2 linked regions of the Arabidopsis thaliana genome follow. The protein of the gene in region 2 interacts with the protein of the main gene of each other region in a pairwise test. Each region holds a gene or a part of one and is shown on either strand. Other genes may lie near its edges.

Region 1 (9,185 bases), on a different chromosome or scaffold from region 2:
TAACTCTTAAGTGTCTCAAGTGCTAGTTCTGATATTTCTTTCTTAGCTAAAGGTAATTCGTACGACATGTTGCAGAACGAAATGCAAATATCTCTGAGAAATAGACTACTTGGAGAACCAACCGGTGACACGCTTCTTGGTAAAACTGTGAGTCTTAGAGTGATCTTAAATCTGCATTAGATATCTTTTGGCTTATATCCCTAAACAAAGTTTGTTTGTTTTTCTTTCTTTCTATTATACAGGTATTTATCTTAGGATATGGAAACATCGGAATAGAGCTGGCTAAACGGTTGAAGCCATTTGGGTCGAGAGTAATAGCCACGAAAAGATTCTGGCCTGCTTCTATCGTCGACTCAGACTGTATGGGTTCTCTTTTAACTCCTCTGTTTGCCTTGACAAACCATCCTGAGGTCTAGTAATTTGTTAACTTATATCTTCAGCCAGGCTAGTTGATGAGAAAGGTAGCCATGAAGACATTTACACATTCGCTGGCAAAGCCGATATAGTCGTTGTTTGTTTGAGGCTCAACAAAGAAACGGTAATATTTCCACTTCTCCTTCATCATAAACTTGTCAAGCAAATGAATATGAAGAGTTGTTCTTGGCAGTGAAAAATATATCTGCAATTTAGATAATATGGCTATTGTTTCTTCTACATGATGACATTTTCAGGCTGAAATAGTGAATAAGGAGTTCATATGCTCAATGAAAAAGGTGATTACCGGGGCTATTCATATTTGGAAAAACCGAGTTGAATTTTTTTTTTTTTTTTTTGTCGTCAACGGAGTTGAATTATTTTGTGATTACTGGTGACTGTTGACTTCTCTTTGGTTGTTTCAGGGTGCTCTTCTTGTAAATATTGCCCGAGGTGGTCTTATTAACTATGAATCAGCTTTCCAGAATCTGGAGTCCGGTCATCTAGGAGGCCTTGGGATTGATGTGGCGTGGTCTGAGCCGTTTGATCCAAATGATCCTATTTTGAAGTTCAAAAACGTTATAATAACCCCTCATGTCGCTGGAGTTACCGAATATTCATATAGGTCCATGGCCAAGGTAAACTCATCCAAGGAAGATTCACTCTTTCTGATATGTCTTCTGCATTTGGTTGGAAATGGATTCTAAACTCTTACTGTTGTTAAATGTAGATTGTCGGAGACCTCGCGCTTCAGTTGCATGAAGGACTTCCTCTCACCGGAATCGAATTCGTCAATTAAGAGGTAACATTTTCGTGTATTATCGTCACAAGAATAATATCCTGTAACACACACCCACAGTAGTTAATATAAATTAATCCAAGTCTCTTTCTGATAACTCCGACCTTTCACTGCAAACTTTTTAGTACAACGGATTAGTAAATAAGCAAAAACCAATCTCTCGTACTTTTACTCAAGTCTCGAACAAACTGATACTTCTTTGACCAGTGACTAGTCTTAACCATAACTAAAACGTGGTAGGTGAATCATCAATCTATACTGTAATCTTTCCAGTTGTGTCTTGAGAATTGGAGACACAGGGATCAGCGTCGTCAAGCTTTCTCACGACCTCTCTCATACTCGGTCTGAGATTCGGGAGCTTCGTAGTGCAGAGAAGACCCATCTTCAGAACTCTAATCATGCTTTCTTCTATATAAGTGGACAAAACTTGCTTGTCCAAAACATTTTGAAGGTTCCTCGGATCTTGTTGAATCTGAGAGTAGACATAGTCAACAATGTCTTTCCCCTCTCCAAACTCGTCTTCCATAGGCCGAAGACCGGTAACTAGCTCTAGAAGAACCACACCGAAGCTGTACACATCACTCTTTTCCGTTGCCTTGAAGGAGTAAGCCAGCTCTGCAGTGATCATATCACACAATTACAACAAAAAAGAATCAGTTCCCAGTTTTCATCTTGTGAACCAAAGTTTATAGTTAAGTTGGAAACTCACCAGGAGCCATATAGCCATGAGTTCCAGCAACGCAGCTCCATTCATATCCTTTGTCTGCAACTTTTGCAACTCCAAAATCTGCGATTTTCGACTCATAATCTCCGTCAAGTAAAATGTTGCTTGACTTTATATCTCTGTGAATGATGGGTGGACAACAATCATGATGCAAATATGCGATTCCTTTTGCCGCTCCCACCGCAATTTTATATCTGTTTATCCAACAAAAAGGGACAAATTAATCACTTTTCTTTCTTATAATCTTGGATCCATGATTAACCATTTTGAAACTGGTTCTTATTGACTAGAGAGTACCTTTTGAGCCAATCCAGTTCTGGTAGACCGCCTTTAATATTGTTGCCAAGAGCTTGATACAAGTTCCCATTCTCCATGAACTCAAACACCAAATATCTAGAACCTCTTCCAACCAAACAAGCGTAGAGTTTCAACACGTTTCTGTGTCTAATCTTTCCAAGAATCTCCATCTCCGCAACAGAGACCTCTGTTCCATCACCTTCTTCTCCTCCTCCTCTCTTCAACCACTTAACCGCCACTGTCCCGCCACCTTTTTTCAAATCAACACGGTACACTTTTCCTGCACTTCCAGATCCAATCACATGATCTTCATCCAATCTACAAATCTCATCAACGTCCAACTCCATTTGATGAAAAGACGCGATTTTCCACTTCGCATCCGCCTTGTTGATATCTCTGTTTTCCGAATCAAGCTCACGTATCTTCACAACTCTGTAACGCAACGCGAACAAACCACTCACTAGTACTACCACAACAATTGCAAGAGCCAAGAACAAGAGTGTTCCATCGAGTGAACTATTCCTCTTCACGTTTTGGTAGCCACTGCAAATACTCAACCCCAAGTTCTGATTTGTTTTAGCGTTCTCTTTATCAACACAGAGCTTCTCGTTACGTGAGAACGCGGTGGATCCTCCCACCGCTAAAAGATCCGGTGGTATTCTTCCTGAAAGTTGATTTCCAGACAAGTCAATGAAACTCAGCTTCAACTTCACAAGACTCGCCGGGATTTCACCTGTTAGCCTATTCCCTGAGAAATCCAACGAGTTTAAAGAAGCAATCTGAGATAAACTGTTAGGGATTTCTCCGGTCAAGAAGTTCTTAGCGAGATTCAGATCAACAAGTTTGACACAATTCTTCAATTCCTTAGGGATAAATCCTGTTAATGAATTGTTTTCAAGATGCAGAGATGATAACTCTTTCAAATCTCCAACTTCCATCGGAATTTCGCCGGAAAGATTGTTGTTGCTCAGATAAATCCTCTCTATATTAGTCAATCTTCCGAGCTCACGAGGAATCTTGCCGGAAAATCTGTTGTTCTGTAAAATGAGCTGACTCAGTTCTGTTGAAAGTCCAATCTGAGGAGAAACCTCTCCGGTGAGTTCGTTATCGCTGAGATCAATCATCTTAGCAAGCGGTAGAGACCAGAATCCTTCAACAACTTGACCACTTAGACGGTTGTTGTTAATCCTTAGTCTCAATAGAGATTTGCACTCGCCGTAAGATCTCGGAATCTCGCCGGAAAACTCGTTCTGCAAGGCGAGCAAGAATTGTAGTTTCTTGTTTTGGCATAAGAATCTTGGAAATGGACCAGTAAACTCGTTTTCAGATATATCAACCGTGTCGAGCGGCGAGAACCGGCCGATGTTAACCGGAAATTCACCGGAGAAGTTGTTTCTATAAATCGAAAGAGAAGTGAGGTGACTTAGATCGCCGAAACCAGAAGGAAATTCGCCGGTGAAGTTGTTTTCATGACAGTGGAAAACTCTGAGCTCCTTCAAAACTCCGAGTTCTTCAGGTAAAACCCCGCTCAACTGATTCGAAGAGATGTCGAATTCGCGTAAACGAGTCAAGTTCTTTATCTCCGGAGGGATTTTACCTGTTAAGCTGTTGTTGAACAACTCAATCTTGGTGAGATTTACCAATCTTGAGATTAAGATTGGGAAATCATCGGAGATTGCGTTGTTCGCGATGTCGAAAGTGTCGAGAGCATTCAGATCAAAGATCGAGTTTGGAATCTTCCCGGTCAAGTTGGAGCGAGCTAAGAACAGCCAAGTAAGTTTCTTTAAACCTCCAATACTCTCAGGAATTATACCTTCTTCGTAGTGATTGTTGCCAAGACCGAGAGAAACCAACTGATTCATATTCCCAATCCAGCTTTGAAACTCTCCGTTAAGAAAATTCCCGGAGATGTCGAGAATTTCTAGGGACTTTAGAGGAGAAAGGTTTGGGATTGTTCCGGAGAGTCTGTTGGAGGTGAGATTGAGAACTTTAAGGTTTTTGCAGTTGACTATCTCTGGCGGGATTCTTCCGGAGATGAAGTTAGATGGAAGCGATAGCGTAGAGAGCTTTGTGAGAGCTGAGATTGATGGAGAAATGGTGCCGGAGAGATTTACGTTTCCTAGAGAAATACCGATGACTTCGCCGGATAACGGGTCGCATGTGATGCCGCGAAACACGCATGGTGAATCGGAAGGCTTCCAAGATTGTAGAATGTTGTGAGAGTCGTCGAGGCGGTTTTTGAAGCGAAACAGAGCTTGTTTCTCAACGGTCGATTCAACATTCGGCGGGAAAATGAAGAGGAGAAACGTGGCAGCCACGGTGGCGACCACGCTGCCACGTAGGAGGTCTGGTCTTCTCGACATTTATAGTGATTCCCAAGGGCAAAACGGTCAATTTGTAGTTTAGGTGTTGATCATGGTCGATGCACTGGAATTCCCACCTACATAGAAAAATAAAGATATGAAATCAACAAACTAACCACTATACAATTAATAATCCACTCAAAATAAATTTGATATTTTAATGTATGGGATTTTCATAGTATTATGGTTTTCCAATTGTGTTTACTGTTTATTATTATTATATTCTATGCACGTATATTACTATATATATAAAAAATCAATCATAGCAAAGATTTTGTAAGAAGAATGGGTGCATGTGATTTGTGAACAGTTTTGTATAAATCATAAATTAGTTGTGATACATTTATACATCATGTATGGTAGATGGACATATTAAGCTTGCTTAAGTACACAAACTCCAAAAGTGAGCTTTAAAGGTACTCATTACAGTGCAGAAAGTTTATTATCCTTCTCCTAAATTTTCAGTTTCTTAATTATTTTGTTTGAAAGTAAAGCAAATGATCTATCTTTACTCTCTCTCTCTCCTTCTAAATCTGTGAATATAAACTTTAAAAGCATTGAATTTTAATGAAAAAAGAACAACACAACATTGAGAATTGAGTATCTATCAAGGATTAATGATTAAAAAGGTAATTAAATAAACAATCAAGTTAAAAATGAGTCATGCAGATTGTAGTTAGTGGATAAAGTAATTATGTTATTAGTAGAGCTAGTAACCTACACATTTGAAAATTTGAAATTTATAGAAACTTTTTCACAGAATCTATCCTTTAAATCTTTGGAAATAAAACAACCTTAGATTGAGTAAAGAAAACAAATATGTGAGGCTTAAAGATTCAAAACTTAAAACCAAGAAAAGCAACGGGATTAAACAAAATATAATGAAGAATTATCGTACCTGAAATAGATGAAACCTATCCAAAATCTCAGGTTAGTGAATGGATGATCCTTCTTAAATTTGAGAGATTTCAAACAAAGACAGGGGAGATGATTTTGATTTGTGGTTTCTGGTAAGAAAAAAGGAATGAACCTTTTTGTGTGATTTTCTTGGACCACGTTCTAGGAAAATCTCTAGGAAACAACAAAAAGCAGAAGAAGTCCTAATTTCGAGGAAGTTCTTCGATTATCAACTTAATTTAGTTTCTCTCAAAAGATAGAATTCGATGAAGAACAGTTCCAGAGAAAGATGTCTCCAAGAAATACGAAAGAGAGAGAGATTTGAGAAGAGAGGAGAGAGGAAAGAGAAGTGAGAAGAGACAAGAGAAAGTTGTCGTCGAGACTTGGAGCCAAAAAGGTTAAATCATTTATCAAAAAATCAACTATTTCTCTAGCTAGCTTCTCTCACCATACAATTCATGTTCGTGAAAGTTGTAAAAACTTTTAAAGTTAATAAAAATCATCTGACTATACTGATTTTGACATATAATATGTTATGATGATCTTTCTTTATAGTTAGCGTCGCTCTCAGGTTAAGAAAATCCAACGGTGCTTATATAGTTTTCTAATATATAAAAGAGGATCAACAACAGACATTGACCTAAAAAATTAGTTTCATGGATGTAGAAAAACATTCATCTTTCGGTTAATGTTTCTAGATGGATTGATAATAAGTGGAGATTCATTGTAATAAAACATTTTAAAATTTATTATTATAATGATACGTCATTGTCTGGAAAATAATCTTATTTGATATTTGTTTTTGTCATAGCGATAATTGTTCCTATTGGAATTAGTAGCAACTACTAGTTGTATATGTCCAAAACGTTACGTGAAAACATTTACATTCATATAGTTCCTATATATAAGATGATAAAAATAAAAGTGAAAAAATATTACTAGTATATAATTAGGAAATGCTGATTTATTGGATTTTACTTTTAAAGTGGAGATCAATTACAATAAATAATGAAAGCTTGGAGAAACCTATGAAGGTTACTAGAAAAAAATAAGCAACGAATCGTATTGATCCCAAATAGTTAGGCCGAAAAAAAAAACATTTTTGGTTTCTTCTGTAGTGTTAATATTCGTTTACAGTCTGGAAAATAAATTAAAATTAAAGAACCAAAAAAGAAAGAGAGAACTAAAATGTTGTTGGGTCGATTACCCTTTTAAGTGAAGTTTGATAAGAATCGTCTAACCTACTCAATGTCCTTTTCTTTCTACATCCATCTCTCTAATGTTATCCCCTTATGCTCCGAATCCCATTCTGATTTATCTCCAAGTTTTATATCACATATTTATTATGAAAACTTATAATTGCTTATTCTCTTTCTGATTGATATCAATGTGTGATGGCCTTGGGTCCTATGGCATCGTTTAGCCACTAAAAGTTAAAACACAAATTAAAGGACCATAATACAGTAAAATATTTAGAAACGGTAATAGATAGTGAAATGGTTAGTATATGATGATTATGTGGTTATAAATGTACCCCTTTCACTGAATCACTTTGTTTTCATGCTCACTTCACTCGATTGGTAATTATTCAAACTTACAAATGAAATTCCATAAAGTTATGGCCCTTACAAGGTTATCATCCTACATGTTAGAATAGTATATAGTATGTTGCTTCTTTATTTTATTAAGAAAAATCTAAGATAATGATTTAAAAAGTGAGACAATACACGAGAAAGAAATCAGAGACAGTCAATAACAAAAACAAAAAGTAGATGAGAATACTATAAAAAAAAAATCCCCCCATACATTTGGCCAAAATCAATAATACTAACATAGTTTTTTTAAGAGTATACAAAATGGAATTTTAGCTATTGCAAGAAAAAAAAAAAACTTCTCTTTAGTTGTTTAAATACTAATACTTTCTACTGAATAATAAAGTATTAACCGTGATACCTAATAAATTTTCTTGTGTCGGTTTAAATGGGAAGAGATACGGTTTAATAAAGGGATATGTGAGTGAGAATCAAAAGATCTTTGATTTGGATGTTGACTTCCCCAGCTGTATCCCTTCCCTTTCTCATTTGGTTCCTTTATTTTCCCAGTCGCTTTCCACATTGTTTGCTCTATATATACATATATATCACACAAAAATATTCTATTGGTAGAGACATTAGAGAATTTAAAGTTTTATTATCGCTAGAGACAAACACTAGTGTTAGATATGATCTATGTTTTAGTTATTCGTTGTTGAGTATACTTAAAAATTAGATACTTTACATACATATAATAATGCACCATAAAATTGCATAAACATAATGTATCAAGCATTGCAAAATTCCATCAAGTAAAGGTAATTTTGACCAAAATATTTTGAGCTTATTTGAAACAGGACATTGAATATAGATGACGGTTTCATTTTGAAGAAAATATAGCTAGCAAATAGTGACAGTAGGCCCGAAGTTAGCTAAAAATATAAATATTTACAATAATGTAAACGTGGGTGTCTCTATAATTTGTCGAGTAGGACCGTCCCACAATGATAATAATATTGATCGGACGAGAAACTGATCAGAAGAGCATATCTGTCTCCATACCTCTACTAACACAACGTCACGTCATTACAATACATTTGTTTACAAGACAAGATTATGCAACTTCATGGGCGATTCACTATTTTACTAATTTACATACTTTTGTATAATTAATACCCGTTATAGGTAACACTAAATTCAACTCCATTAATTTTTGTTTTTATCATATATTTTATGTGTTTGCCTTACGTGACAAGGGATATATACGGATATACCAATGAAGCCGAATCATGATTGAAGCAATAATATCGACAATTTGGTAACCAATGCATTTATATCGAGGGCCAAGAGAAACGTTTTGAAGATGGGATTTTTAGGCGGTGAGTTCCAGTGGAGCAACGTCACTTTCGGGACATGCACATGAAAAAGATGAGTCTATCACGCGTATGTGTTTTTGATTGATACCATGTGAATAGAATCCACGAAAGCTGTACGTGTACTATGCACGTGTGACCATGTTGAGACAAATTTTTTTTTGTGGTTCTATCTTGTGGTCCACTCATCTATGACACATTGTATTGTCTCTCTATAAATGGAAAATCTGTTCTACGGTTCAACACTTAGAGACTACTAGTGGATAAACCACTTTAAATTTTAGGCCAAACCATCAAAACGACATTTTGAAACAACCAAGTTTTCTACATAGCGGAAACTTCTAGACATCGAGTAGTAATCTTTTGATTCTTGAAATATCGATAAACTAGAGTAAATTGCAAAGTTATTCCTTTAGCGTGTGAGACTTCCGAAAGAACTTCTTAAATCTACTACACCGTATCGGTTATGGCCAATAAACGGATACTAAGATCGTAAAAACCTGTGAAGACTATTCAGCAGCTACTGAGGTAAGAGTAAGACCTATCAAGGTTTCCAGAAGAGGACCACTCAATATTTGATTTGTAGCTGAGAGAACAGAGACTGAAGTAAAGTTTTTGTTCCCATCACCATGACCCATCTCAGAGTTTCTCGAGTCAACGGTCGAAACCATAATTGATAAATTTGAGTGGAAGGGTCAAAAAGACTAGCGTATAGGAAGTGGTAGGAAGATGATTGATATGTACTTCCAAGCTTTTTGTGCTGTGATCTTTATCATCACACATTTC
Region 2 (6,412 bases):
TAACCTAGTAATACTAAAGAAAATGTTACAATTAGAAAAAATATTAAAATGGTCAAGACTATTTAATTATTTAACGTTCAAATGTTTGGAATTATTTATTAATTATTTCATCTGTTGAGTATATTCATTGAGAATAGAAGCAACAAATATTAAATTCTAAAAAATAATAAAGTAAGATACACAGAATAAAATTTAGGAAAGCAATAAATAACCGAGTAGAAATCATAAAGCAATTGAAACTGCAAAATCAAAACAGTCAAATATATTCTTCAAAATGTTGAAATGTGTGTACCTAATTATGTAAAATTTCCATGCAATTTGTTTCCGAGTACCGGAGCCATCTGGTCAACTTTTTCATTTAGTGTGTATCTATCAAATCAAAGTGCTGGCCATTAAGTTCCTTAAAACTTGTAAAAGAGATTGAAAAAAAAAAAAAAATACAAATAAATATACTAATTGATTGGCTTCTTCACCTTTTGATATTTAAAAATGCCAATTTTTTAATTTGGAGGTAAAGACAAAATATCTTCTTTCCAACTTGTAGGAGCTGCCTCATCACTCATGTCATGCTTCCATCTTTTTGAAAAGCACCCAAATACCCTGACTTTTTTTACATATGTACGAAGTTGCCATTTAGTGGTATCGACAACATTATCACGAGTTCCAACTTTCAAGTAATTCGCGATCTACTTTGTGAATCCATTTGTTAATATAATAACTGTGATACTCCGAATCTTTAGTTGCGGCAACAAGGTACGTACGAATCTCCAAAATCGTTGAGTTTAAATAACACTAATATAATAAACACATTATTTCATGTGGTGGACAAATGAAATTAGAGATTCGTGAATAGGTTGGTTGAAAGTTTGTAAAAACACACTTTTTCAAAATAAAATAAAACAGAGTTTGTAAAAACACACTTTATCAAATTAAAACAAAAAAGAGTTTGTAAAAGCACCTACTTCTGCTGAAACTTCAAACTTGCAAGCATCTAAAAGTCTAATTAGTGATGTAAGACATAGAAATTATTTCCATAAATTATTATTTATTTGCATCAGACATGAAAGATTGTCATTTCTGATTATTATGCTTGAGTAAATGGTTCAACTTCGTTTTACCAAATTGTTAATGCTTCTAGAAAGCAATACTTCGAGTTATTTATATCTATTGCGTCAATGCAAGGTTTGTTTTAGACTTTTTAGCTATTTAAAGCAATAAGTATGAACTAATATCAAAAAAGTATGAGCTATATCAAAAGTCCAAACTTAAAAACGGTCAGGCTTTTACTTAGTCCATGCTTCACATTCCTAATTGCTTATCTAGAATGCAGCAAATAATGATCATAAAATTTGAAAAAAGCGTTATAGAAAAAACTCCAAAGAGAACACAAATGACCACATAGATATTATCATCACAACCCCATGAAACTGTACATCTAAAACATTACTGAAATGCAAAAAAATATCCAAAACAATATTTAAGTATCACAAAACATCATTTAAAATAATACTCTAGAAAATAGAGAATAAAAGTAAAAATCCAAATCAAACCGGAGTAGGTGTAGTATTAGCACCAGAAGGAGAAGGAGATCGTGGCTCAACTCTCCTAAGCTGAATGGCTTTGTGAGACTCATCATCATCAAAGTACATATAAGCAAAACCACCGTGCCTGGTCATATCCATACCGGCCATCTCATCCTCGGACGATATCCGCAACAATTTCATTTTCTTGAGGATGAAGAAAAGTGTCCCCATGGTCGCACTTACCCAACCCGTGATCACAATGATCTGAATCAGCTGAGCTCCAAGTAGTTTTCCTCCACCGCCCATAAACAAACCGTGTGGCCTTCCGGGTTTGTTGCCGTAAATCTGGTTCAAGTACTTTTCTTGAGCGAAGAGAGCCGTGAATATTAGTCCCCACGCACCGCAACCACCGTGTAGTTGTGCTGCCTCAAGAGGGTCGTCGTATTTGAGCTTCTCAGCGAGCTTGTTGCATCCGAGGAGGACTAGGGCCGCCACGAACCCGCAGATGATCGCAGCCCATGGCTCAACGACAGAGCAGCCACCAGTTATGGCTGCAAACCCTCCGAGGAGGCCGTTGCATACATCAGTGACGTTCCAATGTCCCGAGAGTAGACGTTTCCCAAATAGGGTTGTCAGCGCCGCGGTGCAGCCAGCTAACGTTGTTGTGACAGCTGTCCGTCCGACCGCGCTCCACTGGCCGTTGTATGTGCCTGTCTCGTACGTGACTAGGATCTTGTTGAAGGAACCGGGGTTAAATCCGTACCATCCAAACCAGAGGAGGAATGTTCCAAGGACAACAAGTGACGCCGAGTGGCCACGAAGAGCGATGGCACGGCCTCCGTTATCGAACCGGCCAAGTCGTGGACCTTCGATGAGCGCACCCCAGAGTCCAGCGATACCTCCGACCATATGAACAACACCGGACCCAGCGAAATCTATCGCTCCGGTGCTGAAAAGCAAATCTCCATCGGTACGGAACGGGCTGGCCCATCCATCAACTGACCAGAACCAGTGAGAGACGACCGGGTAAACAAACCCGGTTAAGAAAGAGGAATAGATTAGGTAAGCCACGAACTGTGTCCGTTCAGCGATCGAGCCACTTGTGATTCCAGCCGCAGCGATTGCAAAGGCCCATTGGTAGAGAAAGTTGGAGTAGTCAGCAGAGGCCGTGGGGATGTCTTTGAGACCAAAGTAGTGTTTACCGATGAAACCATTGGACGGAGATCCAAAGGCAAAGGCGTAGCCAAACAGATAATAGAAGAGACCACCGGCTGCAGCGTCAAGGACGTTGGTAAGCATGATGTTCATAGTATTCTTGGCTCTCACGGAACCGGCACAGAGCATAGCGAAGCCAAGCTGCATAGAGAAGACAAGGTAGGCGGAGAAGAGAAGGTAAGTGTTGTCTATAGCGAAAGCGGTGTCGATAAATTTGTTGTTGACGTCGCCTAACTGGCCACAGATGTAGTTGGCCGCCGCCGTGGCATTAGGACCCAACAGGACAGCGAGATCGGTGGCCGAGCAAGACATGTTGAGAGTTTAGAGAAGAAGATGAAACAGAGAGGCTGAGAAAGAAAGTGTTTTGTTTCTCTGTTTATATAAAAGAAGGAAGCTAAAGGCCTAGGGTTGACTTTTCAATCCTGACGAAAAATATTCGTAACGCATAATACAAAGTCTTTAAGTTTTGTTTATTAGTACATACATGTGAATAAAAAATAAATAAGGAATGTAAATGTATCAGGCTTCAGCTAATATATCGGTGAAGATAAGATCTGTGTGTTCAGAAAAAAATATTCTATCACATCCAAATGTATAAGTGAATAACAGAAAAATAAAATGTAAAAATATTCTATCACATCCATATAGTTGTTGGAAATGGCAGCGAAATTTCGAATTTCTTCTTCTTCGTTTAGCCACAGGGCTAGTGATTCCTCAACTTCATCATCTTCTTCATATTCATCATTGCTTGCTTTACCTCAATTCTTTTGTCCACCATCACCATTAGGATTCCCAGAATTCAAGCTTCATGCCAAATTAGGTACTCTTATATCTTTTATTTGTTTGTAGATGTAAATTTTGTTAATCTTTGGTTATTGCATAAGGTGGAGGAGATGGAGAAGTGAAGCCTAAAGATAAGAAAAAGTTTATAACCAAAGAGGAAGAACCTGAACAGTAAGTTAATCTTAATTCTCAATTTTCATCATGAGATTGTAGAAAATAACAGAAACTCATAGAATGGTAATGTAATTTTGCAAAATCACAGAAAAACAAACCTAGGAAATTGATGAAAACATGGAAAATTACAAAACGATATGTAGGTTACCAATTTAATACAAAAATTTTAGTCTCCATTGCAGAATTTAAGTAGTTTTTTTTTTTGTATGTGTCAATGACATGTAGACTGGTGGTTTGTGACATTGTGTTAGTATTGTATCAATATCCAGACTCAAATCCGTGTTAGCAAAAGAATAAAAATATTTGGGTTGTAGTTTAGTCAAAAGAACTAAACTCTTTTAAAATAGAAAAAGAACTTAAATTCTTGCATGTTCATTTTTCATAAACATGCAATTGTGATTGAAGAAATGGTTATGGATGAGGATTGCATTGGAATTTTGTAGGTATTGGCAAAGCGTTGGAGAAAGAGAAGGAGAGAATCCGATGAAGACGCCTCTTCCTTACATTATCATATTCGGTATGTCAACTCCATTCGTCATCTTAGCCATTGCTTTTGCCAATGGTTGGATCAAAGTTCCCATTCGTTGAGCCTTTCTTTTTGTTTTTTCTTCACTTGTTTAAGGCTGAATCTTAAACATGTTTCTTATACTCTTCTTCTTCGGCTGTAAAAAAGAACAAATTAATAGAATGCTATCACTATATTATATGGTGCTTTGCTATACTACATGTCTTCATTACAAGCAAATGTATAAACAAATATTAGTCATCTCTTCATCATTAGTGATATGTTTGGTCTTGTCAAGAAGAATGAGAATTAGAGACAACACAAAGTAGTGACATAGAGCCTAGTTGGCACATTAAGCAGAGACTTGAAATCATCTAGAAGACTTTTCAAATTACAGCCTGACGAAAAATATTCGTAACGCAAATTGCAAAGTCTTTAAGTTTTTGTTTGTAAGTACATGTGAATAGAAAATAAATAAGAATAATAATAATAAAAAGGAATGTAAAAAATGTATCAGCTAATATATCGGTGAAGATAAGATATGTGTGTTCTTAAAAAAGTATTCTATCACATCCAAATATATAAGTGAATAACAGAAAAATATATATAGTATTGAGACTGAAATTCCTTGTTTTTATTGTTTTCTTGGTTAGGCGAAATTTCTTACTATCTCTTTTGAACATTAAAAAGTGTCAATTTGACAAGATATTCTTTTGTTTTCAAAAGTAAGTCTTAGATTTGAGTATTAATATATTATAAATTACGTACTTACAAAACTATGTTTGCATTTAGCATATTTCGAATTCATTTATAAGATATTAATTGATAATTTCTGTGATATCTCAACCAGGTTGTTGTTGGTATATCTTAATTGACTAATTGAGAGTGAGCATAATATCCACATACCACATGCTATAAAGTTAATGTTTCTTTTCCGTTAAATTATCTTTTCTATTTATATAATATAAAATTTTCACAAAGTAGTTTTCCTAAAACATGTTTGGAAATTCATCAAGTTAAAAAGTAACTATATGATAGAACCAAGCATAAAAAATTGATCAAGAGATATTTAGATTCCAAGATTGGGGAATAGAGGCAACAATGTACAGTTTACTTTTGGTCTTGATGAAGGCGTCAACGAGCATATAGTACTCTTGATTTCCAAGCTAGATGCAGTTGATCTACCGCGATTTGTGATGGGGCTTGAATTACAAATTTATTCACCCTTATAGCAGATCTTTCATCGAGTAAATATCAAAATATTTGCGGACAACTGAATCCGATAAAGGCTTATGTGAATATTGCAAGTGAACATGACAATGTTCTTGTTCAATCCGATCAAAGTGTAGACATCAATTTTATTGAGTTTAATTTATAAATGACGAGGGTCATAAGACATCTTAACTCAAAGGATTTGGAGACTAAGCTCAAGTTTCGGGATTGAAGAACTTATTTGATGAGAGGCTTCTCTTTTGGTGAATTCAATACCAATGGCATGAGCATATTGAAGGGATGCTCTTTCACGACTCTTTAAAATATCTTAAAAAGTAGATATGAAAAAGAAGAAATTGAGAGAAAAGTCATATAGAGAGAAGAAAATTAGAAGTATATACAAAAAAAATCGATAAAAACTGTAAAGAAATCGAAGAGGATATAAAATTTCTCGACGTCGACGAACTAAAACTCTATCGATACCGAAAATTAGTCTTTGAAGTGGTATTTCAATAATATTGCATGAAAGTGTTTTACCAGTATCATCACTAAAAACAATAAGTGTATGTTTTTAAAAATATATACTATACCTTTTTTTTTCTTTATATCATCGATGTCGAGATATATCTCGATTCTTAGGTTGTTAACTCTACAAAACAAATATTCGTAATTAAATTCTAGCGAAAAAAAATCCACAAAAAATGGAACTTTAATCGCTTGACCAAAAATATTTCTCCATACAAACTAAATAATTCGTACACATGTTTTACTATATTTAATCAGACATCTAGTTAATGATACTGCAGAATTTTTTTTACAAATTCATGAAACTGATTACTTTAAAATTTAGAAGAAGCTGATTTAAACATGTTATTTTCTGTATATAAATATTGGGTATTAATATTCTCTATATATATACTATTAGAAAGTTACTTTAATTTGCCCCAAAAAAAAGTTGCTTTAACTACACCTGATTATTATAAAACAGACGCAATAAGAA

Evidence for each region.
Region 1: the proteins of AMT1;1 (region 2) and AT1G72180 interact in a protein complementation assay, tested with the Arabidopsis thaliana proteins (one study listed by BioGRID).

What each region holds. Positions count from the first base shown.
Region 1 is NC_003070.9:27,159,486-27,168,670, reverse strand, and holds AT1G72180 (Leucine-rich receptor-like protein kinase family protein), read right to left. Parts: upstream 5,852-9,185; 5' UTR 5,496-5,851; intron 4,675-5,495; 5' UTR 4,598-4,674; coding exon 2,235-4,597; intron 2,132-2,234; coding exon 1,923-2,131; intron 1,829-1,922; coding exon 1,467-1,828; 3' UTR 1,241-1,466; downstream 1-1,240. Other genes in the region: AT1G72190 (D-isomer specific 2-hydroxyacid dehydrogenase family protein), read left to right, coding at 76-147, 243-360, 441-538, 672-713, 840-1,052, 1,145-1,213. UniProt on the Arabidopsis thaliana protein: Receptor kinase involved in the perception of C-terminally encoded plant signaling peptide (CEP) and subsequent regulation of root and shoot development.
Region 2 is NC_003075.7:7,854,858-7,861,269, reverse strand, and holds AMT1;1 (ammonium transporter 1;1), read right to left. Parts: upstream 3,088-6,412; 5' UTR 3,051-3,087; coding exon 1,545-3,050; 3' UTR 1,352-1,544; downstream 1-1,351. Other genes in the region: AT4G13500 (uncharacterized protein), read left to right, coding at 3,396-3,558, 3,623-3,692, 4,139-4,283. UniProt on the Arabidopsis thaliana protein: High affinity ammonium transporter probably involved in ammonium uptake from the soil, long-distance transport to the shoots and re-uptake of apoplastic ammonium that derives from photorespiration in shoots.